3 linked regions of the Cricetulus griseus genome follow. The protein of the gene in region 2 interacts with the protein of the main gene of each other region in a pairwise test. Links are inferred from orthologs where the notes say so. Each region holds a gene or a part of one and is shown on either strand. Other genes may lie near its edges.

The links.
Region 1: the proteins of Ccndbp1 (region 2) and C2H22orf23 interact in binary tests that used the Homo sapiens proteins (3 or more experiments, as listed by UniProt). The two-hybrid records come from large-scale screens. The link is inferred for Cricetulus griseus from reciprocal best matches to the Homo sapiens genes CCNDBP1 and C22orf23.
Region 3: the proteins of Ccndbp1 (region 2) and Ccdc146 interact in binary tests that used the Homo sapiens proteins (3 or more experiments, as listed by UniProt). The two-hybrid records come from large-scale screens. The link is inferred for Cricetulus griseus from reciprocal best matches to the Homo sapiens genes CCNDBP1 and CCDC146.

The regions. Positions count from the first base shown.
Region 1 is NC_048595.1:376,255,174-376,265,220, reverse strand, and holds C2H22orf23 (UPF0193 protein EVG1), read left to right. Parts: upstream 1-3,321; 5' UTR 3,322-3,464; intron 3,465-3,624; 5' UTR 3,625-3,633; coding exon 3,634-3,736; intron 3,737-4,948; coding exon 4,949-5,011; intron 5,012-6,440; coding exon 6,441-6,623; intron 6,624-7,143; coding exon 7,144-7,272; intron 7,273-7,504; coding exon 7,505-7,605; intron 7,606-7,730; coding exon 7,731-7,802; 3' UTR 7,803-8,234; downstream 8,235-10,047. Other genes in the region: Polr2f (DNA-directed RNA polymerases I, II, and III subunit RPABC2), read right to left, coding at 302-371, 3,181-3,200.
Region 2 is NC_048599.1:57,419,359-57,429,305, reverse strand, and holds the end of Ccndbp1 (cyclin-D1-binding protein 1), read left to right. Parts: intron 1-206; coding exon 207-288; intron 289-2,454; coding exon 2,455-2,548; intron 2,549-2,703; coding exon 2,704-2,777; intron 2,778-3,357; coding exon 3,358-3,434; intron 3,435-3,739; coding exon 3,740-4,017; intron 4,018-5,115; coding exon 5,116-5,176; intron 5,177-5,591; coding exon 5,592-5,638; intron 5,639-5,867; coding exon 5,868-5,982; 3' UTR 5,983-6,381; downstream 6,382-9,947. UniProt on the Homo sapiens protein: May negatively regulate cell cycle progression. May act at least in part via inhibition of the cyclin-D1/CDK4 complex, thereby preventing phosphorylation of RB1 and blocking E2F-dependent transcription.
Region 3 is NW_023276806.1:173,197,630-173,207,576, forward strand, and holds part of Ccdc146 (coiled-coil domain-containing protein 146), read left to right. Parts: coding exon 1-101; intron 102-2,945; coding exon 2,946-3,034; intron 3,035-3,116; coding exon 3,117-3,281; intron 3,282-4,357; coding exon 4,358-4,582; intron 4,583-6,193; coding exon 6,194-6,422; intron 6,423-9,947. UniProt on the Homo sapiens protein: Essential for sperm flagellum biogenesis and male fertility.

The sequences.
Region 1 (10,047 bases), on a different chromosome or scaffold from region 2:
AGTTGGATCTCTGTGAGTTCAAGACACAAGAGCTAGTTCTAGGACAGGCTCCAAAACTATGCAGGGAAACCCTGTCTCGAAAAACAAAAACAAAAAAAAAAACAAATGAAAAGAAAAGAAAAAATAAATAAATAAGACACAACACTCTTAAGACCTAGTTGAGGTGACACTTAGGCAAAGGCGAAGTGTACCTGCAGGAGACACATCCCTGGAAAGGGAATGATGAAACCTTTGGCAAACATCACCATCTCACTGTCTAGCTTCCAGGTTGCAGTGCAGGAAGCTGAGGATGGCTACTAACCTCCTCTGCATTTTCCAAGTCATCTAGTCCTTCGTCCTCTTCCACATCATCAAAGTCATCGCCGTCGAAACTAAGCCAGAAGACACTGGTGGTTAGAATCACCTGCCAGAATCAGGGACACAGTTTGGGGTCTCTGCTGTGATGTAGGAGGGACCAGCAAATCTTGATGAGGGAATCAAACTCTGGCTTCACTTTACACCTTCAATCTTGTCCCATCTGCCCCCAAATTTTACTAGGACTTGTCATCGATGTTTCTCTCTGTGAACTACTTCAGTCAGCACATGTACTTTTCTGGTCTGGGGATTTATGTTTTAAGGTTTATTTATGTTTGTGTGTGTGAATGTACGCCTATGGAAGCCAGAAAGGAGGCATCAAGTCCCGTGGCTGGAACTGTTCAACATGGTGATGGGCACTGAACTCTCACTCCCAGGAAAAGCAGCACGTGCTGGTAATTACTAAGCCACCCCTCCAGTCACCAACATAGTTTTAGCCCTATCATGAGGGGAAAGCCGTAAATCTGTGAGTGTGATGGCACACTCCTGTACTCCTAGCATTTGGACACTGGGAGTGGAAGACTCAGGAATTTAAGCCCAGCCTGGGCTACATAATGAGATTCTGTCTCAAGAACAAGAACAAACAAAATTTACTTCATGGCCGGAGGTATATACAACAAGCATGAAATCCCTGGGCATTAATTCCCAGGAGCAAAGCGTCACCACCATTACCCCACCCACCTCTGAGAAAACCACATTATTCTCTTTCCTCCAGCTACAGCCTAATTCCATGTTTGTTCCCTTATAATGGGGGGAGGGAGGGTAAAAAAAAAATAAGGCCCATGTGACATTGTCATTCTCATGGTCTCTGGTTACCAGGCTTCTAAATTATTTTTAGTTATGGTTAATGTGTGCATGATATGTGTTTGCACGAAGGCCCACACATACCACCGGGACAACCTTTCCCATTCTCTCCTTCTACCTCCGGGTTCCAGGGATCAAGCCTGGGTTGTCAGGCTTGTACAGTAAGCACCTTCAAATGTGGATCAATCTCATCAGCCTCCTATGGTACAAAATCTGTGAAGGAGCTGCCCAAACTCACTGTCTGCAAGTCTTCTCTTTCCTCGGCCATAATCTCACCTCAGTAAGACTTCCACCACGCCCGGGCAGTGGTGGCACACGCCTTTAGTCCCAGCACTCGGGAGGCAGAGGCAGGCAGATCTCTGTGAGTTCAAGACCAGCCTGGTCTACAAGAGCTAGTTCCAGGACAGCCTCCAAAGCCACAGAGAAACCCTGTCTCGAAAAACCAAAAAAAAAAAAAAAAAAAAAAAGACTGATCATCTTTTTTTGGGGGGTGGGGATGTTGATTGAGAGAGGGTTTCTCTGTGTAGTCTTAGCTGTCCTGGAACTCGCTCTGTAGACCAGACTGAACTCACAGAGATCCTCCTGCCTCTGCCTCCAAAGTACACCACTTCACTAATGATCGTTTTGTTGCTAATCCTTCCCACTCTCATTCACCTTCCTCTAACAGCTAGCACACCTGGCTCTTCCCTCCTGCTTCACACTTGGGGTGTGGGACTCCTCCTCAGCCTTTTCTGGGTACCCCCCCACTCCCCCAATCACTCACCACCCTGGTCAACACTCCCATCTTTGCTTTGCTTTCATTGTATTTTTGCTTGTTTCTGAGACAGAGTCTCACTCTGTACACTATGTAACTCAGGCTGCCCTGAAACTTGATAAGTAGCACAGACTGACATCAAGATCATGGCAATCCTCCTGCCTTAGCTTCCCCAAAGCAAGGATTACAGGTGTGAGCCCACCACACCCAGCTTCCGAGTTTTGGCTACTATATCTATTTTAGGACTCCCACAGTTTATCTTCTCTTATGACCTAACACATACAGCCCATCTGGAAATCCTTTTGGCTCTATTTTAAAAATATATCAGGAGCCAGGCATAATCCCAGTGCTATAAGAAAAAGGCAGGCAGATCTCTGTGAGTTTGAGGACAACCTGGTCTACACAGTGACTTCCAGTACAGCTAGGGCTATGTACAGAACCTTTGTCTCAAAATAAATAAATAAATAAAATATATCTAGGAGCTGCCCATGGTAGCATATACCTGTAAATCGCAGTGTTCCAGATATATGTGTATACCATCTCTTTCTCTCATATACATGTAGGATTTTGTGTGTGTGTGTGTGTGTGGGTACCAGGGGCCACACACAATGGTTCACACTTTAATCCTACCATTTGGAAGACAGAAGTAGACGACCTCTAAATTCTTTTTATCCCCTAGAGACAGGGTTTCTCTATGTAACAGTCCTGGCTGTCCTGCAACTCGCTTTGTATACCAAACTGGCCTCGAACTCACTGAGATCCTCCTGCCTCTGCCTCCCAAGTGCTGGGATTAAAGGCGTGCGCCACCACCACCGGGCTGTATCTCTAAACTCGAACCACCTGGTATACAGTGAGATTTAGTCTCCAAATAAATAAAATATATGTCCAAAATTCAGCTGGGTCTGTGGCACATTCAAAGCTAGCATTAGCTACATAGTGAATTCCCGACCAGTTTGGGTTTCAGAGTGGGACCCTGCCCCAAGCAACACTAAACCAGCGCCTGCTCCCAGCCTTCCAGGCCATCCTCTGGATTGCTTCCTCCTTCCTAGTTCCACGACTAAACGAACTACACTACCCGCGTTCCCTTCCAGAAAGGGGGTGCCCGGAGGGCACGGGCTACACGGGCTTAACTGTGCATGCTGCTCCGCGTTGCTCCGCGAGGTAGGAAGTTTAGAAGACTTCGCCCAACAGACCTAATATCTGGGCTAGCCTGTGCTCCAAGCGCCCCGCTCGCACCACGACCTCCTCCCCTCCGAGCCCGCGCTCACTTGTCCTCGTTGTCTGACATGATGCCTTCCTTGCCCGCACTGGCCGGTCCGGAAGGCAGAAGAGCGACGCGCGCCTCAGCGTTCCCCGGCAGCACTACGCGTGGTCTGCGCCTGCGCCGTGACCCAAAGGCAATCACTTCCGGGAGGCAGCCAAAGGCGAGTCGCTAATGCGTGTGCGTGGGGTGTATACGCTAGTTACCATAGTAACCAGATGCGCTTGGTGCGAGCACTAACACTCTGGCGTCCCCCGGGATCTCTTGGAGGAGGGCGCCGTCACGGTTAGGGTAAGCGCTCCGCCCGGGACCATCTCGATGGGGACTGTGGTGACTGCGCTGTCCGGAGCCGAGGGTTCGGGCACCCGCTTCTCAGACGCCCAGGGCGCTGGGGATGAGAGGTTGGGACTGCGACACGAGGAGGGCTGGTTATTGCTTCTCTCCCTCCTAGGGCCCTCCCATGGCTTCACAGGAGAGGGTGGACGCAGTGAGCAATGGAACCGGGTTCCAGCGCTGCGGTAAGCAACTCGCTTACACGCCGGGAACCTGCGAGCTGCTCAGAGGTCAGTGCTTTAGAGGAACAACGATAGGAGACTGGGATTCTGAAAGGCTCAAAGGACGGCAACTTTAGGAGTGGTTAGCTCATCTTTACATTGCACTTTCAATGAAGTTTATCTCCTCCCTACCACACACAGTAAGACCCTCTCACACAGTATCAGATCCAATTCCTTTCACTGGGCTTAGCACAATATATTGTTCTTATAGGCGTTTAGTTTCCCATCTATCACCTTTTTTTTAAAGATTTATTATTTTTATGTGCATTGATGTTCTGCCTGCAAGTATGTCTTTGTGAGGGTGCCAGCTTCCTTGGAACTGGAGTTAGAGACTGCTGGGAAATGAACCCAGGTCCTCTGTAAAACAGCCAACCAATGCCTTTTCCCTGAAACAGGCTTTCTCTGTGTAGCTTTGTCCTGGAACTCACTCTGTAGACCAGGCTGGCCTCGAACTCACAGAGATCCATCCGCCTGCCTTTGCCTAGAGTGATGGGATTAAAGGCGGTTCACCACCACTTCGTGGCCAGCCAGTGCTCTTTAAAAAATAAATAAGTTTAATTAATTTATACATAGTTATTTTTCTATTTTCAACTCCAAATATTGTAAGTAGCAACAGACTTTAGTTAGGCGTGGTAGCATAAACCTTTAATCTCCATACTGAAGAGAGGGAATGAATCCCGGTGTAGTGGAGCACACCTTTAATCCCACCAGCCAGTGCTCTTAACCACTGAGTCACCTCTTCAGCACCCCCCAGATATCACCTTCTAAATGATGAATGACACCAGACAAAGTGCCTGTTCCTGCTCACAATTGTGGCTTCAGCCTCTGATATGTAAATGAACATTAATACATTAATTTATTCAACAACTAAAAAACCTAATATGTGATTTGGATATTATCCTAAGTACTGGAAGTAGAATGTTAAGGGGATTGCAACAAACAAAAAACATTCTTGCTCTCATATAGCTAACAGTATAGGTGTTTTTTTTTTTGGGGGGGGTAGGGATTGTTCCTTTTCTATTTATTTATTCACCTATTTATATAAAAAATTATAGAGCTGGGGTATAGCTCAGGAAGACCTCTGCTATAAATAGTGTCAAGTGAGAAAATGAAACAAGCAGAAGAGCATGAGTGCTTAGTTGAGAGTTGGGGAGGCAGAGCTACAGTGTGGGGTTCAGGCAGGGTGAGACATGCTGAGACACAGAGTGCTTTATTTTACAGTGATGATGAAGGAGTCCAGACTGACTAACTTTCAGCAACGACACATCATGGACACCGTGAAAAGTAAGGTCACTCAAGAGACTTCCTGGGCAGAGGAACCAAGGATACATGGAGCCTATCCTGGCACTCGCTCTGGAGGCCACACTGGCCTCGTTTTTTTGTTTTTTTGAGACAGGGTTTCTCTGTGGCTTTGGAGGTTGTCCTGGAAGTAGCTCTGTAGACCAGGCTGGTCTTGAACTCACAGAGATCTGCCTGCCTCTGCCTCCCAAGTGCTGGGACTAAAGGTGTGCGCCACCAACGCCTGGCATCCAAGGATATATTTTTAATGCTCCTCTGTATGAAAGGGAAGGGGAATTTATTTAAAAGGACAGAGATGAATTTATTTCAAAGTCAGACTTGATAATGTACATCTCTAGTCCCGGCATTCAGGAGGCAGAAACAGGCGGATCTCTGAGTTTGAGGCCAGCCTGGTCTACAGAGTGAGTTCCAGGACAGCAGGGCTACACAGAGAAACCCTGTCTCAAAAAAACAAAAAACAAAAAACGAAGAAAAAAAAAAAACAAAAAACCTGGGCTGTGTTTTTGGCTTAGTTGGTAGAGCCCTTGTCTTAGATGCACCAAATCCTGGATTTCATACCCAGCACCAACCACATCAACTACGTGTAGTGACACATACCTACAACCCATGCACATGGAAGGTAGAGGCAGGAAGACCAAAAGTTTAGAGTCATCTTTAGTTCTATAGGGGGTTGGATAGAGACCCTGCCTCTAAAAAAAGCATAAACCAAAACACAGGGCTGGTGAGATGGCTAAGCAGGGAAAGGTGCTTGCTGCCAAGTGTAACAATCTGAGTTTAGTCCCTAGAACACAGATGGTCAGAGAGAACTGATTCCTGTAAGTTGTCCCCTCACCCTCTCTCTCTCTTTCTCTCTTTCTCTCTCTCTCTCTCTCTCTCTCTCTCTCTCTCTCTCTCCTCTCTCTCTCTCTCTCTCTCGTGCTCGCATGCTAAAAAAACAAAATAAAAACACCACGCCAAAGACTCAATGTATAAGAATGTTTATTGCAGCATTGTCAGAAGTAGTAAAAATCCACCCCCCCAAAAAAAAAAAACTGAGAGAACCTGAATGACTGGCTGAATAAATAGTGTGGTCACTCTAACAACTAATACATTGCTATAAAAAAATAAGTTACATATAAATGCATCTTTATGGAAAGTTGGTCATGATAAATTGTAAGTGAAAAGGGTCTGTTGTTGACCATATGGTATGATCCAGTGTTTAAGAACCATATGTGTAACATACCAAACAAAACATCCTTGGATGTGTGTTAGAAGCATCAAGAACGAGGAGCAACCACCTAATTGTTCCTACAGCCTGCCCAGGAGCAGGCTGAGAGGTCCAGACTGTCCACGCTTTGACTTCTAACTGGAAGCCACCATTTTTCTTTGAAAAGAAAGACAAACAGGTGCTGTCACTTGGCCCTTCTATTCCCAGGAGGAGCCCCTCTGCCCCTGCAGTGCGACCCAACATCCAGCCACAGGGGTTCTCCTTCCAAGAAGCCGGCTACAGCCACCTACCTGCCTCCCATCCTGGCTACCCACTCCCACCTCCGGCCTGCGAGCATGTGTCAAGCCAATGGGGCATACAGCCGCGAACAATTCAAGCCTCAGGCCACCAGTATGTGACCAGCTTAGGCTAGGTGCTCCCTTCTGTCTTCTGGGGTCATAGCAGCCTGGGACAGACAGCACCATTCCAGTAGTGGGTAACAAACGCAGGCAGGTGACCCTCTTTATCTTCCTATGGCTGTTTTCAAATTAATGCAGCTTTCCTAATCCCAGAAAGACACATGGCTGTCAACTGCTTATCTTCCCAGCCCCTCAAGTCCATTTCCTCTGCACTGGAGCCCACATCTGGGAGCCCCTCCTGTGGCCTCTAACAGTGCTTCTGACCCAGAACCCCCCAACATCCCTACAGTCCCCCCCCCACAGGACACCTCAGAGGCCTGTGTTTCTGGGTTCTCTCTTAGCTCTGCACTGAGATATTCAACTGCTAACCTGACATGTTCTGCTCAGGAACAGCCAGGGGAGGGGCTGGGTCTGCAGCAGCCCACTCTTCTCAACCCAGACACCCTGCAGTGTGCACAGACAAGGGAAACAGCTGCTCTGCACCTTAACAAGACCATTTCTGGGCCCTACAGGAGATCTGGAGAAGGAGAAACGAAGACTTCAAAACATCTTTGCCAATGGGAAGGACATAGAGGAACGGAAAAGGGCTCCTCATGGGCTGCAAGAGGACCCAGCTCCCGAGCTGGACCGGTTTGAAGAATGTGAGCGTGCGCATGCGCACGCATGCGTGTGTGCATGTGTGCGTGTGTGCGTGTGTGTGTGTGCGCGCGAGCGTCTGTGTGTGTGCGTGTCTGTGTGTGCATGTGGAGTGTAGAATTGATGAGGCTGACTTGATACAGACCCTCCCCCACTCTCCCTTAGAGACCATGCACTGCCTGGGCCCCTGTGTATGCCCACTGCCCTATGCACTGATAACCCTTCCCCTCTGTGCAGTGGTGAAGGAAATCCAGGACAGGAAAGAATTCTTGGCTGCCATGGAGGCTCTTGGACAGGGCAAGCAATACAGAGGAATGATACTGGCTGAAATCTCCCAGGTAAGAGAGCCCACACAAGTGGGGAAGAGGAGCTCCAGCCAGAACTATGGCTAGCCCTCTCAGGTGGCAAGCTCCCACCACGGTGGCCTGCCCTGACAGCAGTTCTTCCTGATGGCCCTTTGCAGAAACTACAGGAAATGGAGGAAATTGACCGCAGTAGGAGTGAGAAGCTTAGGAAGGCTCTTGCCACCACTTAATCCAAGGGTGGGCCAGCCCAATGTGACCACCAGAGCAGCATGACTGACAAGCAATGTCATCCCCAGGTCTGCCCACCCACAGGGGCCACCATGATGTGGCACTGTCCTGGAGCACAAGACAAGACACTGCCCAGGGATGCAGAGGCCTCAGTGGTCCCCCTGAGCTACTGTCACAGCCAGTGTTGAAGCCTTCTCTAGGGGAAAGAGCCCCAGACCTACCACGTTGACACCGAGGCTCACCACCTTGGACATTTGCCTAAGGGCACCCTTTCTCTGGCTCTCCTCCTGCCACAGCTGGCTGCCAGGTGCTCTGTGAACACAATTCTGCCCTTCCTATATCTTAGGATCTACTTTTTGCCTTCTTATAGCCTTGGGCAAATGTTTGACCACAATGATTAATTGGCCAATAAAACACATTTAACTTGGTCATGACATGTTCCGCCTTGTTTCCACAGAGATAAAGTCTATAACTGCTGTTTGCATATTTCCAGAGGAACAGGGAAACAAGGTTCCTGATCAGCCTGCAGTCAGTGCTGATGCTCAAGACTGCAGTGTGAGAACTCAGGTTCACCAAGACACTCCATCCTGGAGTTACTGCAAAGGAGGCCACTCAGGGTTAGAGGTCAACTTCATGGCTTCCACCAAACCATGACTATGGGAAGAAGCATAACAGAGGGATCCACACTGAAAGGGCCCTGGCAGGTGCCACAGCCTTGGTTCCAGTTCCTTTCAAGTGCCTCTGAGGCCCCAACCTGAAGGAAAGTAGCCTGCTCCCCACCTGGTATGTCACCCGCAACTGACTGACTTCAGGCTGCTGACACTGATCAGCCTGACCTGCACTAGTATTCTATCATTTTCCAGTCTCTATTTCCTGCACCTGTCATTACTCCCATAATCCCAATAAAACATACAATCTGTCTTCTTGCCCAAGAATATACACAGCTACTATGCAACAGCCAGCAGATAAGGGTCAGGTCAGTAGGGACACGCCTACCACCTCACAGGCCTCAAACACTAGAAAATCCAGGACAAGTGTAGCCCAGTGTGGCAAACTCAGATCTGATGTCAGCATTTATAAATTATGCCAGTACAAAAACTGGATTCTGGGGTTCTTTTGAAAAGTGGGCAAGATCTAGCAAGCCTGGGCCCACGTTCACAGAGTACAGGTGACTTCTGTGAGGAAGGCTGTTCCCTTGAGACATGGAAATGTTCCTTGACACTGAGACAGCCTCCTGATGAGGCCCACCCTTGAGTTACAGCAGCTGGGTCACAGAGCCCCTCTGACCTCTGAGGCGGTGGGCCTGGCTCCATGTCAAAAGTGCATTTGGAAAGACTGCCAAGGGCTATATGGGAGTGAGCAAGCACCTCTCCCCAAACAGGAAGGGAATCCCGCCCATAGTAGGCGGCTATGGTCAAGTTCCCAACTGCATGGACAGCCCAGACCCTCCTGGGGTGACCAGATGCCTGAACATGAGGTGGAGCACAGACAGGCATAAGGGCATAGATGTGGCTGTACCCAAGGCTACAGGGCACTGGCAACTGAGGTACAGTGTATTCCTTCCCTGGATGCACAGAGGGAGGGGTGCTGAAGACCCCAAGAGCAAGAACAGTGCTTGGACCATAAGCTGCCTGGCATATTTCCTAGGGAAAAGAGGTACCCCATCACCCTTCTCCCAGAGCCGCCCAGGGGTAAGTGGTCATCAGTCCTTGGAGGGAATAGACAACAGAAAAGACAGGCTGCACCAACCACAAAAAGGAATGGGTCCATCCCCTGTGCATGGGGTGGGCAGAAAGCCTGCATCAGAGGTCAGACTACAACACTTTGGAGAACAAAGGTTAGCACCTACCCAAGCACGTGTTCCTAGGCTAGTCTAAGTCACTGCCTCAGCACAGCTACCAGGTCCTCGTGTGGTGGCTGAGACGTCCCATGGAGCAAGGGAGATGAGGGAGGCAGAGGAAGCAGTGTATTCCCAACTGACACAACACAGCACTCACAGAGGGGCCAGAATTTGAGACTTCATAGAGCTCCTGGGTGAGGGGACATGACTTTCAAGGGCACCTGTGTTAGACAAGGCAGGGACTAGGGGTCAGGGTTGAGAAGGAGGAAGTTGGGCTGCACAAGCCCTATGCCGGGGCCTGCCTTGGGCAGGACTGATAAGGAAGACTCCATCTGGCCTGGTTCAGAGGACCAAGGAGACCCACTGCCTCTGCCCAGACCCTGCATCCCTGCTTGCCCCTGGGCCTG
Region 2 (9,947 bases):
GAGGTTTTCCTTCATTTTGTAATGCTTTTTTGAATTGTCTGGTATCTGCCTAATTTCTTTCTAGTGTGGGATGAGTACTCCATAGGCTTTCAGAAAATATTTGTTCATGTTTTATAGGTATTTGATCTCTTCTTCAGTAAATAGGCTGACAGCATTGATATTGAACATTTGCTCTGTTCATTCTGAATTTGTCCATCACCTCATAGGAAACCCAGAGGATCTGTGAGCAAATTCATGTTGGCATCAAGGAAATTATTGAAGTATATTATTCACTTCCTAAAAATCAGGGTAAGTCACTGTGTATACACAGTAGTGTTGCATTTTATAGGCTAGATCTTTGCTATATGTAAACATTATTTATCTTTTTGTTTGTTTGCTAGTTTGTTTGTTTTTCGAGACAGGGTTTCTCTGTGGCTTTGGAGGCTGTCCTAGAACTAGCTCTTGTAGACCAGGCTGGTCTGGAACTCACAGAGATCCACCTTCCTCTGCTTCCGAGTGCTGGGACTAAAGGCATGCGCCACCAAAGCCCATCGTAAACATTGTGGACGGAAGTTTCTGTCCCACCCAGTACTGCAGTTGTTTAGTACCAAATAAACACACAGAGACTTACATTAATTATAAACTGTTTGGCTGATGGCTCAGGCTTCTTATTGGTTATCTCTCTCTTAATTACTAACCCATTTCTATTAATCTATCTCCATGTAGTTTTGGCTTACCAGAGAATGCCTGGGCAACTTACCTTCCTGATGGCTACATGGCATCTCCCGTGCCACCCTCTGCTTTCTTCTCTCCAGAATTCTCCTAGTCTGGTAGCCTTGACTATACTTGCTGCCTGTCCATTCGCCAAAACAGCTTTATTCACTAACCAATAAGAGAAACATATATTCACAGCATACAGAAGGACATTCCCCATCACATTATTATATATGCTTATCGTCAATGTATTATTATATATTTATTTATAAACATATTATACATGTCTATTGTCTTCAGTTTTGAGCATGTGACTTTTTCCCCTAATATACTCAAAGGTCATTTTATAATGTGAGTGATCTCATAGCAGTCTGTTATGCTAAAGTACAGATGCTGTGCACCTGTGGTTTCCTATTGTTACTACTTTACCTGATTCTTTAAAAGGTGTGGGTGTGGGTGATGTGGGTATGTAAAAGGGTCTCTCATTCCATTGTGGGTTCCTGGTGTTAAACTCAGATCATCACACTTGTGCAGCAAGTTCTTTTGCCTGCTGAGCCATCTCCACTGGTTATTTTTAAAAGTTATTGTTTATGTGATGGGTATGGGTGTTTAGCCTGCATGTGTGTCTATGCACCACATGCATGTCTGGTCCCTGCTGAGGTCAGAAGAGGGTATCGCTTCCCCTGGAACTGGAATTACAGACAATGTGATCTGCCATGTGGATTTGGGAATTGATCCTGGGTCCTCTGGAAGAGCAGCCAGTACTCTTAAGTGCTGAAGCATGTCTTTATAAAAAACATTCCATTATTTGTGTCTGTGTGTGTGTGTGTGTGTGCACACACATAGGTGCATGTGTGTATTCAGGTGCTCACAGATGTGCATGTGAGTACGTGTAGAATCAGTGCCTTGTGTTTTGAGAGAGTCTTCCTTGGAGTTCACTGATTGCCCAGGAAGCCTCCTATCTCTGCTTCACCAGCACTGGCATTATAGGAACACTCCATTTTGTCTGCCTTTCTCATGTAGGTTCTGGGAATTAAACTCAAGCTGTCATGTTTGTGTGACTGACGCTTTATCAAATAGGCTGTCTTCTCAGCCCCTAATTCACTTTTCTTTCTTATACATGCTTGCTAAATCCCAGCTCCATACCCATGCCAAGGCCATCCCTGTCCTCCTCCACCCTGCATTGCATCATACTCTGTTTGTAGACTCTTCACAAGTTAAGTGCCCACTAGCCTAGCCTGTAGATTTCTACCTTTATTGAAGTTATGATGAGAAAATAAATGAAAACATGTAATAGTTCATCTGGGTTACTTACAAATGCTTTAAACTTACAGTGTTTTGTCCACAATTATCAAAGGACCAGTGTCCTTAATGAATGAACACACATGGAAAGAATAAAACTGTTGGAGAAGAACTCTAAAGAATGGCAGGAGGAGCCGGGCATTGATGGCGCACGCCTTTAATCCCAGCACTTGGGAGGCAGAGGCTGGTGGATCTCTGTGAGTTCGAGGCCAGCCTGGTCTACAAGATCTAGTTCCAGGACAGACTCCAAAGCTACACAGAGAAACCCTGCCTCGAAAAACAAACAAACCAACCCCTGCTGCCCCCCAAAAAAGAATTTAAGACTTGAGTCTTGCACTGGTATGTGCTGTAAAGTATGTATGTATCTGTTACCTCATATTCTGTAACACTTAAGAATCCAGAAAACAAGTTGTGACATGAGAAACGACCAGGCTACTTACTGTTTGGGTTTGGCTACAGGGATCACCCTGAGAAAGCTGGTGCGGAATGCTACTTTGGACGTTGTGGATGGCATGGCTCAGCTCCTGGAAGTGCTTATCTCTCCATCTCAGAGGTATCAGTGCCTCAGTGTGGGATGGCAGTTAATTGGCTTCCTTGACTCAGGGAGGAAAAATTGACCCTAACAGTCAAGTTATATATTATCCCTCATGGCAGACAATTTTAGGAGACTGTGGTTATTGATGTGTCCTTATTAATTCCTTTTTCCAGCACTGAGAACTGTGACCTTATTTCCTGCAATAGTGTCTCGGTAGCATGCCAAAAGGTGTCTGAGATTCCAAAAGGTGGGTAGAAGTAAGCTGGCTGAAGCAAAAAGGCCTCTCATATCCAGCTTCCAGCTTTGCCTTACATAACTAATTTCTATAAAGATTTTAAGTGAAATAATACATAGTTTATTATCATCAATATATTGACTTTGGTACTTTTTGCCATTCTTCATACTGGTTTTTGGTTTGGTTTGGTTTGGTTCTGGCAGTGCTGGGGATTGAGCCCAAGGCATGCCATCCAAGCGTCCTACTGCTGAGTGCTGCTCTTTAAGTTCAGACGCTTCTTGCTGTGGCTCTGTTTCTCGTTGAACAGATAGAGTTTGCTTTCCTGTTGCTGTCCCAGGAGTAGCATCAGAGAGCACGCTAAAAGGGTTATAAAGCAGAGCCAGGCAGATGACTAAGAGTAATGTGATAACAAACACCATGAGACAGTTTTATTTTTTCTGGTGGTGAAATTAAAAGGCCTTCTAATCCTGTGTCCAGGCAGAGAGTGTAGTAGAAAAGTTTTACTTTAAAGCAGTGTTGGTTGTGCTTTGCAGTCTTCAGAGAGAGATAGATTTCTTTTCTAATTCTAGTGTTTCTGGTTTTTCACTCACAGATAACAAGGCTGCAGCCCTTTTGATGCTGACAAAGTGTGTGAATTTTGTGAAAGATGCACATGAAGAAATGGAGCAGGTGAAGGCACTTTCCTATCTTTCCTGGTCATTGGAAAGCAACTTCATGACCAGTCGATGAGAACTGATCATGAAGACAGGGAGTCCCTGCAACTTGATTGAATGATCCCAGTCTTACTCCTGTCCTGTCTTCCATCTCCCACTGTCTTCTGTCTTGTATCTTAGTACCACTTCTCCGTTCCTCTCCGGACAAGAAGAAGGAGAATGTGGTTTGTAAATTGGTTGAGTTTTGTAGTAAGTAGCAAAGCAGGTGACTAATGATGGTGGTGGAGTGTTTGCATTTACATATATGATGCTATATCTTAGGCTATAGAAGAATGTGATCCTTACTGTGGACTCTTGAATGGTTCTGAGGACAACTCTGACAGCCATAATGATGAGGATGATGTATTAGGGCTTCCAAGTAATCGGGACTCATACTGGTCAGAGGAAGATCAAGAGCTCATAAACCCGTGCCTTGCATTGGTGAGAGCATCCAGAGCTTGCCTCAGGAAAATCCGGACCTTAGTGGCTGAGAATGGGAAGAAGGATCAGGTATCCCAGCTGGATGACATTGTGGATATTTCTGATGAGATCAGCCCCAGGTAAGCATGTCACACTTACAAACAGGAACATTGTGATTCGAGCTGCTGCCGCTGCAGGTTTCCTTCAGCTTTTTATATTTTGAAAATTTTCAAGCCTAAAAGAAATTGAAAAAGCACTTCAGTAAATAGCTCTACATCCTTTATTTGGATTCTCCTAATCACCTATTTCCTCTGTATATTTATTTCTTGATAAATAGATGTGATATGTTTTTTTCATTTAGGACATAAATAACTTTTTACCCTTAAATATTAGTAATCTCCTAAAAACAGATATTCTTGGAGTCACATTCAAGAAATTTAACATTTGATGTAATAATAATATCTAATACTTAGATTTCTTTGTCTCAAAAATGTCTTACATAAATTCTGGGTATCATTAAGGTCTCTTACTGCATTTGGTTGGCATCTGTTTAGTTACTTGCAATTTACAATAGTCTCCGTCATTTCTAGTCCGGACTTGACATTGGCATTTCAGAATTACATATTGTAAATACACAGCAATTTGGATTCATAAGATTATTATTATTTTTTAAGATTTTATTTATTTATTATGTATACAACATTCTGCTTCCATGTATATCTGCACACCAGAAGAGGGCACCAGATCTCACAACGGATGGTTGTGAGACACCATGTGGTTGCTGGGAATTGAACTCAGGACCTTTAGAAGAACCTCTGAGCCATCTCTCCAGCCCCCCCCCCCCAAGATTATTTTCTCATAGAAAATAACTTGATGTTAGTTTTTCTTGTGGTAATAAATTTGGTCACATGGTTAAAGTAGTGGCCTCTTTAGAAGGGTACCTTTATCTAACCTGCTTAGCTTCCATTCATGAACCCTGGCAGTGTCACTTACTATACTGATGGTTTCAAATTCTCTTGTCTTTGACTCAGCTAATCATTCCTTATCCTGTGAACCATGGTCATTTTTACCCCACCTTCTTAAATAGAATGTGTTTGTTTCTGTGAACATAGGCTGAATTGCTTCTGCATAGCATACCTGCTTACTCAAATTAAGGAACTGGGTTGGGTGTATACTGGAAACAGTCACAGATCTGTGCCCCCTTTTTGTTAATGGTTATATTTTTCTTCTGCTCTTAGTGTGGATGTTTTGGTTCTGAGCATATATCCACCTGTGTGTCACCTCACTGTGCGGATCAATGTAAGTACTAGCTTTGAATTGGTAAAATTATATTAGTCTCTAGGATTTCCTATAAGCTATAGAGCTCCTCCCCCCACCCCCTCCAGACAGGGTTTCTCTGTGTAGCTTTGGAGCCTATCCTGGCACACGCTCTGGAGACCAGGCTGGCCTCGAACTCACAGAGATCCGCCTGCCTCTGCCTCCAAAGTGCTGGGATTAAAGGCATCTCCACCACCTCCCTGCCTTCCTTCCCTTTTTTAACATGGGTATTGGGAGTTGAGACTCAGGTCTTCATGACTGCACAACACTGAGCCACTTCTCCCACCCCTTTAAAGCTCTTTTTAAATGATTCTCTTATCATTACATGGATCTTCAAGCTCTATTTCTTTTGGTGCCAGGGTTCAGGGTGAGTGACATCTCTCTTTTTTTTTCCTAGTCTGCGAAATTGGTGTCTGTTTTAATAAAGGCGCTTGAAATTACAAAGTAAGTCTGAAGACTTCTCCCTACACGTGAGAATAAAATCGTCTGCCCAACTGTTCTCAAGAACTGACCCCATTTCAGAGAGTTGGGTAGGGGAGCCATGGCTGTGGGTAGGGTGTGGAGCAGCCAGTCTGTGAAGAGGAATGTCTTATTACTGTAGTTTCCTCTCTATGCCTCCTGGTATAGCTTTTCCCTTCACATTAATAATTTTTTTTTCTTCTTTTATTTCCAGAGCAAGTCATGTGACCCCCCAGCCAGAAGATAGCTGGATTCCTTTACTCATTAATGCCATTGATCGTTGCATGAACAGAGTTAAGGAACTCACTCAGCATGCAGCCAACTCATGAGCTTCCAGGCCATTCTTACTCCTTTCTCTTCCTCTCACTCTCACAGCCAAGCTCCAGTGTCTGCTTTTATTTATTTATTAATTTTTTTCCAGTGTCCGCTTTAGAAGTAGAGCTATGATAGGGTGCTTGCTGGATAGAAAGGAAGCTCTTGTCTATATTTCACAAGAGATTGTTATCAAAATTGTAGCCTAAGACATATTGGCAGCTATCTGTAAATCATATGAATATGATATGCTTCTGTGCTAGACACAAAAGAAATTTGCATAAGTTTGTGCTCTGAGCTGTTTCTTGGAGATTCTTAAGGAAGTTGTCCTATTCTCTATTTTACAATAAAGTATATTGTTTTATTAAGATTTTGATGATCTCAATAAAATGCTAATCTATGTGTCTTTTAATGTATCTTTCAAAGTGTCATTTAAAATCTTTTATTGTCACCCAGGCATGTTGGCATACACCTTTAATCTTGACACTTGGGAGGCAGAGACAGGTAGATCTCTGAATTAGATGCCAGCCGTGTATGTGTTGTATGTTCTCGGACAGCCAGAAATCTACAGAGAGACTTAGTCTAAAAAAGAATAAGAAAAGAAAAGAAACAGGCTGGAGAGATTGCTCAGGGGTTAGTACTACAAAAGCTAAATATGTTAGTGTCTTAGGGCTTCTGTTGCTGTAAAGAGACACCATTGATACAGGGTTTCTCTGTGTAATAGCTCTGCCTGTCCTGGAACTTGCTCTGTAGACCAGGCTGCCCTTGAACTCACACAGAGATCCATCTGTCTCTGGAGTGCTGGGATTGAAGGCATGCACCACCATCACCTGGCCCAAGGCAACTCTTATAAAGGAAAGCACTTAATTTGTGTGGGAGAGATAGCTGAGAGTTCTACATCTGGATCCACAGGCCAGAGGAAGTGAATGTTACACTAGATGTTACACTAAACCTGGCTTGAGCATTTGAGAACTCAAAGTCTATTCCCTTCTGAAGCACTTCCTCCAACAAGGCCACACCTCCTAATAGTGCCACTTCCTATGAGCCTTTGGGGCCATTTTCATTCAAACCACCACAGTTAGTTACTTGGGTGTGAGTGGAAAAGAGAAGAAAAAGGCTAAGACTAAGATTAGTATTGGCAAATCAATTCAATCTGCTCTTTGGGAGAGGAAAATAAAAAAGGAAACAGTAAGGAGGACGAAAAAGTAACCCAGGGCAATAACAGAATAGGAGCAAGTTGGCATGCTAAATTGACATTAGGTATTAAACATGGGAGGAATAGATGCAGGGAGGAGAGAGATCTGGTTGGGGATATCAGCTGTGAAAACTGCCCGACCTGATAACCAGACTCAGTCTCATCTCTCAATGTTCTTTCCTCAGTTACAAGAAGTCTGCCTCACCCCTGGAGTTCCTCCATTATACTCTTGTTCTCTCCCAGTGTTACTTTGAATAACTAAATTACAGATACTGGCTCAGTCTGTTCTTTATGGGTGGAGTCTCAGATCCTGGTACATCTCTGTGCCTTCCTTGAGGGTTCTGGTTGCAAAGGCTGTCCCTTCCCTCAGCTGTCTCCATAGCCCATGTTGTTTGGGGTGTGTTGTTCAAATCTAGATGCTGCATCATGAACCAGGCTCTGCCATACGCATTTCCTAAGGGTCCAATGGGTCCCTAGCTTTATGTGATAATAGGAGGGGGCAGAGGATGATGAGTGTTGTAGCTTTCTCAAATTTAGGGTCCCTTACCCCTTCCCTAGAGCTGTGTCATGGATTGTGGTGCTGTTCTCTGCTGGTAGGTTCAGGCAGCATGTGTTGAGCCTCTTCCAAGCTTTTGGGCCATGGCAGCGAAGGGAGATGTGGAAATAAATCTGGCTTCACACCCCTGTAATCATAGTATATGTCTGGCTTGCTGTAGTTAAATTTTTCCTTCAGTCTGAGTTCAACCTCTGATTTGGATTTCCAGCAGTGGGACCCTGTGGGTTCAGAGACCCTGAGGGTGTTTTCCTGGTGGGGTTCAGCTCTTCACTCATCAATAGGCTTCACAGAAAAAAAAAATCCTAGGCTTGTTTCTGCATTCTTGTAGTCCTTTCTCTGGTCTCTCTCTGTGGCTCTTTACTACCTTGGGTTTCTTCTACCAATACTCCTGGTCACCCAGATGCAGTTTCTGATCCATTCCGAAGTTTTGTTCTACCAGAAATGCAATCTGTTAAGAGTAGAATGTTGTTTTTATTTAAGTTTATGACCCTAAAGGTTTGAGTCTGCTCAGAAGTGCATGTAAAATGAAAATACTGATTTTTATTTTAAGATTTTTATTTATTATGTATACAACAACATGGAACAATTCTGCTTCCATGTATATTTGCACACCAGAAGAGGGCACCAGATCTCATAATGGATGGTTGTCAGCCACCATGTGGTTGCTGGGAATTGAACTCAGGACCCCTGGAAGAGCAGTCATTGCTCTTAACCTTTGAGCCATCTCTCCAGCCCCAAAAATACTGATTTTTATATACATAGAGATGACTACAAAGTCCCTCTTGGTGCTGTTATTTGCACCGTTAAGTCCTTCTGAATGTTATTCAGGTTACTCTATGCCTCAAAAGATTTTGGTATTGAGCTCTGTCTTAGTTACTGTTCTACTGCTGTGAAGAGACAAGGCCAAGAGAACTTACAGAAGAGGGCTTGCTTACAGCTTCAAAGGGGGTATTAGTTAAGGTTTCTATTACTGTAAGGAAACACCATGACCAAAAGAAGGTTAGGAAGAAAAGGGCTTATTTGGCTTACACTTCCACACTGTAGTCCATCAGTGAAGGAAGTCAGCACAGAAACACACAGGACAGGATCCTGGAGGCAAGAGCTGATGCAGAGGCCATGGAGGGATGCTGCTTTCTGGTGTGTTCATCATGGCTTGCTCAACCTGCTTTCTTACAGAATCCAGTACAGTGAGCTCAAGGATGGCACCACCCACAATGGGCTGAGCACCCCCCTCAATGAATCACTAATTAGAATGACCTATAGCCAAATCTTATGAGGGTATTTTCTTAGTTGTGGTTCCCTTCATTCAGATAACTCTAGCTTTTGTAAAGTTGACATGAAACTAGCTAGCACAATTGACCTCTTATCAACCTGACATACAAACATATCAAGATCAAGTCATAGCCTTTCCATTATTTGTTTCATTCCCAAGATCTCAGATTAATAAATACCACTGTGGTGGTTTGAATGAAAATGGCCCTCATAGGCTTATAGGGAGTCTTCTATTAGGAGGTATGGCCTTGTTGGAGGAAGTGTGTTATTAGGGGTGGGCTTTGATGTTTCAGATGCTCAAACCAGGCCCAGTGCCACTGTCTCTTCCTGCTGCCTGTGGATCCAGATGTAGACCTCTCAGCTACTTCTCCAGCACCATGTCTGCCTGCACGCCATCCATGCTTTTCCTTCATGATGATAATGACTAACCCTCCTCTGAACCTGTGAGCCAGCCCCAATTAAATACTTTTCTTGTAAGAGTTGTCATGATCATGGTGTCTCTTTACAGCAATAGAACACTGACTAAGAAAACAACAAATATAAAACATCTTACAAACTTAAATGTCCTACAGTCATTACCAATTCCAACATTTTAAAAGTTCAGTCTCTTTAGAACTCCAGAGTCTCTTTTAAAACCTAAAACCTCTTTAAAAATTCAGTCTCTAAACTATGGGCTTTTGTAAAATCAAAAATAAGTTAAATACTTTCTTACTTTAAGAGGAAAGAACCAGGGCAAAGTCACAATCTGAACAAAGCAAAACACCACACTCCAATGGTGTAAGTAACTCAGTGTCCAATATCTGGAATTTACTCATGATCTGGGTTCTCTACAGGGACTCCAACCCTGCCATGAAGTGCCAAGCTTCAGCTGCTCTTCACATCTTCAAAATGAGCACCCTCTGGGTGACTCATACACTGCCAAATTCGGCTACCAGCACCCCTGGAACACAGCTTCTGTG
Region 3 (9,947 bases), on a different chromosome or scaffold from region 2:
AGCAGGAGAATTTGCGAGACCTGGTATTCAACCTGGGGCGAATGACGCAGATCAAAATTGATGAGCGAGAACAAAAGTCTAAGGATTTCCGGAAAGCCCAGGTAACTGCTTTATTAATTACCATTAATTACCACAAAAGTTCAAGGGGGCTTGGTTTTAATGCACCATTCATTAGAAAGAGGTAATTCTAAATTTCCTTCAAATTCGGTAACTATAATTTCCTCCCCCCCCCCCCGACCCCCAGGGTTTAGCTTTCAGGGTTAGCAGGCTAGAGGTTAAAAAAGTCAGTCACAATGATCAGAGGGGTCTGAACAGATGGCAATTTGAACAAGGATGAAATAAACATCTTTAGTGCCCAAGGCTGCCAGGTACATAAGCCACAGAGTTAGAAGATCTGCAGAGTCAGAGGTTGCATGGTGACTTGCCTTGGGACAACTTCAGAGCAGAGCTTGTGTAAAGTCATTAGATGAGCAGTGCAGGATGCCCTCAGTGATTGATTTCCCCAGGCTCCTACAAAGGGCCACGAACAACATTGGAAAATAAAATGCTCCTGCAATAGGGTTACGTTTGACGTTGGAATCAGTCAGTCCACAGAAGGGCTGTGTCTGATTCTTTGTTAAGAGTAAATAAAGGCTGGGGAAACGGTTCAAAGCTAGAGCGCCTGCTTGTGAGAGCTTTGATATCTTGCCAAACAAACAATAAAAGTGTGCATTATGACATGCAATCTAGAAGAGGTAGACACAGGGGTACAGTAAGTTAAAGTTTAGCCTGCATGACATAGTGATACTGTGTCTCAAAAAATTAATGATAATAAATGTTTAAAGACTATGATATAAACTATTACTAAAATAGAACTTAGGCATTTGTCGTGTGACCTGGCTTGGCCATTTGTAAGCGTAATCTTTGTTCTCATTCTGAGTGCTAACATGGGGGTGAGATATTGTCTTCTCATCCCTCAGAAGGAACACACATTTAAACAGCATTGATGGACACTGGTATGAAATTAGATTCCCTAGCAAAGACAGGAGGAGACAGCTGTAACCACACAGACCTGAGAAGTAAGAAGCCAGACATAACTGGCAAGGGAGAGGAGAAGGGATGTCAGATGAAGCAGAGAGAGGCAAGAGTAGATGGCAAGGTTCACTCAACCCACCTTGAACCATTTTATTTCTATTGCAAAGTTCATCGGAGCCCATGGGGTTTGTTGAAAACAGATGAGGGAATGGCATTGCCTCTCAGGAATAGTAGCCCAGGGATCACTGGGCTCTTAGAAAAAAAAGATAAGGAAGAGCACAGCCTCTTAGGAGTTGGAGCCCTGGCATCACTGGACTCATAGAACACAGATGAGCTAGGGGTGAATCTGAAGAGACAAGGATGACTACAAGGGGGGCAGATTAAGTTTGAGAAGGTCATCACCACCAAAGTCGGGGTCTGGGGTGGCGTTAACAGTACAGTGTTGTCAGAAGCCTCCTCTGTGGTTGGAAGAGTCTGCTTCTGTGAGATTCCTACTTAGAAAACTTCCTCTCTTTTAGAAATTTTAGGTATACTAGAGGTGTAATTTGTTATTCCAAGAAAAGAGCTGGTCTGTTTTACAAGGTAGACAAATTCTAATGGATCCCAAAATCTGATCTTTTTGTTACCTGTATCTATCCTTATGTTATAAACACAATAATCTACATAAGCTAAACGGTTGCTAAATGAGCTTATTCATAATAAAGCATAAGACAGTTCTTTTTGAGATGTGGAAACCATAAGGGAAAATATTGTTTGTCCCTCGAGTGTTTCAGTTTTGGGAATTACTCTTTGAAACATTGGTTGCAGTTCAATCTTCTTAATTTATGTAATATCTACATCTCTTTTTAAGAATATATATAAGGTGTCTGGGAAAGGGATTCATGGTGATGTTGCTGTCACACACAAGACAGCATAGTTTATGCTACATCTTACACCTGCTTTATTCTTTTCATGGACAGTCACCTAAAGGTTAGCTTGTTGACTCCCATTTTCACTGAAAGTTATACGAAGTAAATTCAATGTGTATCCATTCTGCCTTGGCACCACCAGGCCAAATGATTTTGTTCTGCCTGCCCCAATAGAGGGTGACTGAAACTGCCCTCCCCCAAATGCTACCAGCAGAGACTGTCCCCCAATGCTTCCTATCCCAGAGACAGGTCCCACCAGGCATTTTCTATCTACATAGCATCACTGATACATCCAGCACTTGATATATTATATTTTAGGATTTTTAAAGGCATAACTGTTTTCTTTTTAATATATTTATATTACATATATTTTAACATTTCCATTTAGTATATCTATTTATAAACAGTCTCAACATGGTGCCTGTTATAAAGGAAAATACATCCACCAAACACAAAAAGATGGGACTGCACCTTAAAGCCATTGCTTCAGTCTCACAAACGCCATAGAGGGTTCAGGTCACGACATTTGTCAAAACTTCCTATAAGTACTCCTCGTCAACCTCTGTAAACACCATGCTCACCTGGCTGGGAGGTGCAGGCTATAGTCACTCTTCTCTCAGTAGTGACCCCGGTTCCCACCCTTGTCTGTGAGGCTCCTTTACCCTCTCTAGTTCTTCCTGAGTCTTAAGTAACACTCTCCTGGTTGATGGTAATCACTTCAGCTGGCCAGGAGGCTCTCAACTCTCACCTGTCCCCCTCATCGTTCCAGCCCAGCAGGCTAGGAAGGATTAATAGATGGGAGTGGAGTTTGGCAGGAGTACTCTTACATTGTAGCTTTGTTGTTGTTGCTGCTGTTGATTTGGGGTTTTTGAGGTATGGTCTTACTATGTATCACAGGCTGATCCTGAATTCCTTGCAGTCCTACGGCCTCAGTTTCCCAAGCATTGGAATTGCAGACATGAACCACCACACTCAGCTTTCTGGTTGTTTCTCTTTATTTCACACATAATTTTTACCTTGCAGCAAAAACATTCCAATGTCATGAAGGAAATCAAAGCAAAGGACCTTGAAATCAGACTGTACAAGAAGAAAAAGCGTGAAATTCACCGGAGGTAAGAGAATTTGGTCATGACTTCTCTACTTGATTGGGGAGAAGGTGTTTAGTTTTCAGTTTTCAAAACCGTGTTTCCACAGACTGAAAGAATTTGCCAAACTGTATGACACAATCAGAAATGAAAGGAACAAGTTTATTAACCTCCTGCACAAAGCTCACCAGAAAGTGAATGAAATCAGGGAAAGGCACAAAATGTCACTAAATGAACTGGAAATTTTAAGAAACAGTGCTATCTCTCAAGAAAGGTAAGAGCCATGACAGCCAGAGTCCTCCCAAAGCCTTGTCTTCTGTGTCTCTGTCACTCCAGAAGGTCCTGGTGCTCACAGAAGATGGGAAAGCCTGGTCACACACGTTGCTTCTCGAGTAACAACACAGGCACCTAGGCACACTTCTTGTTTTCTATGCAAGAGTCACATGTTTCAACAAATGCAAAACTCTAACATAATACTGTTTCCTATGTCGATCTGCTGGTATTCATTTGCTCAATTAAAAAAGAAAGTATAAATCTGATAACCTGCATTTGATGTTAGAAGACAAATGACTTTTTTAGGTAGTGTCCCTGGTTGTAGATTTAAAGCATATATTGTACAGGTGGGTTGGCTAGAGCAGAATTGCTAAGAGCAACACTTTCTAGACTAAACTCACAGCTCTGGTTACTATCTGTGGGGCCACTCTTCAGACTTGTCTGATGTCTTTCCTAACACATAATCCTCGTTATAATCGTGTAGGACCTTTTGTTACTAAATGAGTCCACCTATGTCATAATACCAGAAAGAACATTTATTGCATGTCAAGATCTACTGGACTCATTCACCTCATTAGTTCCTGACTGCCTGAGAATACATAAATGGATTTTTCTGTTGGCCATTACTGCCCAGTTGACTTTGAGAACGATAATACAAAATACACTGATTTGAAAAGCCTTGCTGGAAATAGAAATTTCCTGGTCAGATACTTACCTGAAAGGAAATTAAAATACCACATCCAGGCTGTGATTTCATCCAGCCTGACCCATGCTCCTAGCCTGAGACCCGAAAGGCATTGTCAATAGACGCACCACTATCCTCAGAACAGTCTCCTGAGATGAGAGAGCAGTAAAGGACCCTTTCACAAAAGACCACGACACAGTGGTTGACACAACGACAGTATCCTCATCTGGCTGGAGGGAGGATTCCACCACAGAGGAGTCGACATGAAGTTCTGAAAGCATGGTGTGGTGATTGTCATTTCAGAAGACACACTTTTAGAAATTGTTTTTCAGACATCTTTAGTGTTTTTTGAAGAAAATAATGCTCTTCCCCACTGTGCCTTATTTTAAAAGAAAGCTGCAAAACTCCATGCTGAAGCATTCCAACAATGTGACCATCAAGGAGAGCATGCAGAATGACGTGTGCAAAATCACCTCTAAACTCCAGGAAATGAAGGAGAAGAAGGAGGCCCAGCTGAACAGCATGGACAGGCTGGCCAGCATGATCACCTTGATCGAGGAGGAGATGGTGCTGCTGCGCAAGAAGTATGAGAAGGCCGTCCAGCGGCGCAACGAAAGGTATGGACCACAGACGGCTCAGGCTGTGAAAGGTACAGGCTCAGTGCCCTCCTCAGGTGAAAGGTACAGACAACAGATGTTGTGCATGAAAACAAGACAGGCCGTCTGTGGGAGGGAAACTAAAAGGAGGGTTTGGGACATTGAAAGATCAGAGTCTCTGGGATACTAGGACAGCAGTTCTCAGCCTTCCCAACACCACCACCCTTTAGCACGGTTCCTCATGCTGAGCTGGCTCCCAACCAAAACGTCATGTGTGGCTACTTCATAACTGTAATTTTGCTACTGTTATGAGTCACAATGCAAGAATCTGATATTTGATGCTCAGGATATCTGATATGCGACTTCCAAAGGGGTCATGACTCATGGGTCGAGAACCACTGCTCTTGGATGGCAATGAATTACTCCGAATCACCTGATGTGAGCCAGTCTCTAGAACATCTATCCACGTCGTAAGGGCCTTGTCAACCCAGTCTCCTAGTTCGTTTTCCTCCGTAAGGAAGTAAGGCTTAGAAGAGTGGCCTGTTTCTTCCAGACATCAAGCATGTCTTTAACAGTGTTACTCTCTTAACAGCCCCACCCACAGCAGCTGCTTGAGTTATGAGACATTGGTAGCTGAGATGGCAGAGTCTAGAAAGAATTCAGATTTCATGAAATTGGTGTGGTATTTCTTGTAAAGCACTGGAGTGCTAGCCCCTGAGGGTACAGGATAGTAACACCTTGCTGTTGGCATTTGTCATCAAGGGGATGGATGCGATAATGAGCAGCTTCAACAGAAAAACCAATGAAGCGGATGGAGACCTGAGGGCCACCAGACACAACTGCATGCACACTCTTGGAGGGAAGGAAAGACTTAGAAAAATTAAGGGTAGCAGTTGTGGTAACAGATATACAGATTGAGCGGGAGGATCTTTAGGGTCATTGACAAACAGAACTTTTTCAAAGGGCTAATGAGTGTTCTTTCTGGGCTAAAACAAAAACAGAAAACAAAACAAAAAAATCCTATGTAGCTCCTGGCACAAGCCTAAGCTTATGGATAAATAGAGTGTTCCCAGTCCCTGGTTAGACCAGTGTTGATGAGGGGAAAAATCTCACTTTGTTTCTCTCCAGTGGCCTCCTGTCGAGGAGAGGTATTCCCATTGCACCCGTCAGCCAGGCTACAAAGGGCAGGTGACGGGACATCCACTTTTCAAATGTCCTTACGAGCCTGGCAACTCACTGCAGAGCCACATTCCCAGGCCCATCTCCTGGGGCTTCTGCCTAGGCCTTGCTTGGCAAGTCTGGTCCCCCAAAAAAGATGTGCAGAAAACAACCCTTGGATTTTCCTCTTTCACATGTTGGGAGTGACTTCCACTACCCTAGGGAAACTTTGGGGGCTTATCAAGCCACTGTGGCTGTCCTGCTGCCCAGCTGGCCTTGGAATGGAGATTCCAACACTCTCTTAACCCCAGGAAAATCTGGTGTGGGCCACTTAACTGGCAGTCTATGGCGCCCTGTCTTCTGAAATTCTGCTGTGTTGATGTATAAGTGAGCCCAAAGCCAGAGGGAACCACAGTAACGAGGAAACAGAGGCCTCAGCACCCACTTAGACCCCTGCTCTGAATTTGACCACAGTGGCGTTCAGCTCATAGAACGAGAGGAGGAAGTGTGCATTTTTTTTGAAAAAATAAATATCCAAGAGAAGTTGAAACTTAATGGAGATGTTGAGATCCGTGTCCTGGAAGAAAAACTCCGGTTCCTGAGACTGAAGATTGCCGAGAAGCAAAGGCAAATTTGTGTGACACAGAAATTACTGCCCACCAAGAGGGCCCTTGATGCCAACCTGGCCGTGCTCCAGATCCAGGTGAGTAAGTGGTCAGGGGCTCGTCCCCAGGCCATTGGTTCGTCTCCTCCCCCTTGTTAGTTTGCAGACGATATGGGTTCTTGCATGGAAGCCAAGGTTCACCACTTCTGGTAATTACGAGCTGTATGATGTTTAAAGACGACTTTGAACACTGCTCCAGGATCGAGTTTTGGAAATCTGAGCTACACAGATTTGTTTGTTTTTATCTTATGCAGCATTGTCTGTGTTTCTTGGAATCTGGGCCATCCCGGGATTTAGCCCTAGTTCATCATTCCTATAGCTCTGCCCAGGGTAATCTAGGCTCTCACTACCTGCAGCCTAATTCTGCCATTAATGTTGCTGGAGACCACCAAGATAGAACATTTAGTCTCTCTGGCTTGTTGAAGCAGGGTCTTGTAGCCTTTGTTGGTTTGATACCCCTATATAGCCCAGGCATTTCAGACTGATTGCAGACTCCCTGTCTCAGCCTGCTGAGTACAGAGATGACAGGAAGTGCCACCAGAGAGAGCCTGATGCTCAGAGGAAGAGTGACATGCTTAGACCTGCTGCTTCTCAGTCTGCAGTCACACACACACAGATTCTTCACAAACCTCTGTGGTCCCCCCAGTAGCAAAGACTAAAATGTGACGAGAAGCCTGCTTTCTTCAAATGTAAGAATACTTTTATGAACCAAAAAAATTGGACCAACATCTTTGTGACATACACTTTTCCCCACTGACTCAAGATTGCAGGATAAATTCTACCCTGTATTCTAAAGTCACCCGCTTTTGGATTCTTTTTTCTGGTTATTAAATTATGGTGTATTCAGTTAATTAAGATTTACAAAAAAGAATAAAATGTTAAAGAAAAAGGAATTCTATCCCAAGAATAATAGTCAGAAATCTGAGAGCAAGTCTCCTCTCTCAGTATACGTTTAGTTTCAGTTTTTCACTTAACTTCATGCAAAGGATTTGTAGAACTGGATACAGGGTCTGCTTCCACACTTCAATGCATCGGCATAGGTAAACTTTACGTAGACAACAGATAGCATCTTCCAGATCGTGCAGCTACATCAGGGTCTTTTATAACCATGCTTGCCTGACTTTTAGCCATAACTGCTCCCATTTAGATCAATTGACTGGATTGCTCCCCATCAAGGCTCCGGAACAATCTCCCCATTATTCCCTGGCTCTGATTCCAGCTTCCAAAAACTGGCCAGCCTGCACACAGTACCTGCTCCCTTTCTGTGATCTGTCAGGGTATGCCATGGATAGCTATCCTCCTCACTCTACACACCAGCATGCATGCAAAGCCCCTGAAAGATTTCACGGCACACTCTCGAGAGCACTGTGTGAGGCTGCATTCCAGATATGCAAAGAGCTTCATGTTAGACCTCAGAAACCCTAGGCCTCAGAGTTGTCTGGGGCCACCCCATCCCTGCGCAGGGCTCTCCTGGTGCTCTGTGTTTCACAGCTAGGCTTTCCAACATCTCTACCCCACTTGCCTTTGGGCCTCACACCCTGCAGTGCACCTCAGGGATACTGTACTTAGCACACCCCATTTTCCAGAATCATTTGCTCTCTCCAGCTTTCTCAGTATCAGCTTCCTGTCTGTCTTTGCCTATGAGGAATGCCACCATGTCCAACAAAAGGGGTTTTCATCTGCTATCGAACAGACCAGATTGGCCATCACATAAGCATATATATTTCAGGTTAGCTGCAAACCTTATATCCAATGGACAAAACCAACCATTCTTCTTACATTTATTGCATTTGGCTGGTATGTCTACTAAACTACTTTAAATCTAGCAATGGCCCCACTTTCCTCCTTTTCATTTTTAATTATTTATTGAAGAAACTTGGCCAACCATATCAAATTATAGTCATTAGTGCTGCTCTGTTTATGCAACAGAGGAGAAATTAGAACTATATAAAAGAGTTGTTAATATATTATATGAGAAATGGTACTGTGTTAAATTTTGTCTTAAATTCTTATGTTTTAAATTGGGTGTGGTGGTGAGAGGGTGAAGCAGGAGAATCCTATGACTTTGTGGTCAGCTGGGGTTACACAATAAGACCCTATATCAGAAAAAACAAACAAACAAACAAACAAACAAACAAATAAAAGAAAACAGAAAATGGGCCGCTTCTGAGTTGTGCAGATGAAGCCGAATGATGTGTGGGATGGATGCTAAAGTGGTCCTACAGGTGTGCGGAGATGAAAGAGCTGTGCTGCAGAACTGCTGGCGCTGAGAGACAAGTGTGTGGAAGTTTATTCTCTTCTTTGTGCATTTTTGACTTTTACATAATTCAGAAGCTTTAATAAAAAGGTACTCATTCTTAGAAATAATCAACTACCCACTGCGTAGTAAGAGTTCCAGTTTAACAAGAGGTGACTACTATGTTAATGTTATATATTATAGTTACTATTATATTAATATAGTATTATTATATATAATACTATATATATAGTATATTATATAATATATATTATATGTAATATATATTATATATTATATATATTATATATTATATATTAAACATATATTAATGTTTACTATATGCTATGTCTGATAACAAGCCTGTATCATCATGGCTGCACATAAATTCAGACCTGTGGGCCATATATTAGCTTTGGAGAAGGTGTATAGAAAGCCACCCATCCATTTTCAGGCTGCACTTGATATGTAATTTTACCAGCACCGACTGTGGGCCTGGAAATGCCCAGCTCTGGGCAAGCCACACCTGCACTATGCCCTCCAGGACTGGCTTCTTGTGGCACCCTGGTGTTTCTGAGTTAGCTGTTTCCTTTTGCCTGTTTTCCCTGTTCTGCATCATTTTCAGATTGCTTTTTTTTTCTTTTCAGTTATTTTTAAACAGCTTTTAATTGTCCAAGAGACTAATCCCAAGGGTTATCATGAATCATGTTCTCCTGGACCTTGTAGTAACAGCCCCATCTTAGGAATCCTGGAAATCTCATGTGCTATTGTCTGAGTATTTTGACTGCATGTATGGAAGAGTCCACAGCATGCACACCTAGTGGCCACTGAGATCAGAAGAGGCATCCAATCCCCAGAACTGGAGTTACAGGTCGTTGTAGCGGCCACATGGGTACTGGGACCCAAATCCAGGCTTCCTGCAGGAGCACCCATGCTCTCACTGATGAGGCCCTTGTCCAGCCCTCTAGGGGCAAAGTATCATTTTTATTTCTTAGTTTCCTAGCTAAGGAAACATTGTTACTAATAATTTCTGTCACTATTTTTAAGCGTCAGCACTTAAATTCTTATTATAGAGAAGAGCGCCATCAATTAAAATTCTCAAGTTCTATCTGTGTTGCTCTTGGCTGTGTTCTAAAGCCCCAAAGCAGTGGTTCTCAACCCTCTAGTGCTGTGACCTCTTAATACAGTTCCCCATGTTGTGGTGACCCAACCATAAAGTTCTTTTCACTGCTATCTCATAACTGTAATTTTGCTACAGAGCAGTCTCTCAGTTCCTAAGAGCATAGGAAATGTGTGTTTCCCTAATGGCTGTGACCCACGGTTGAGTA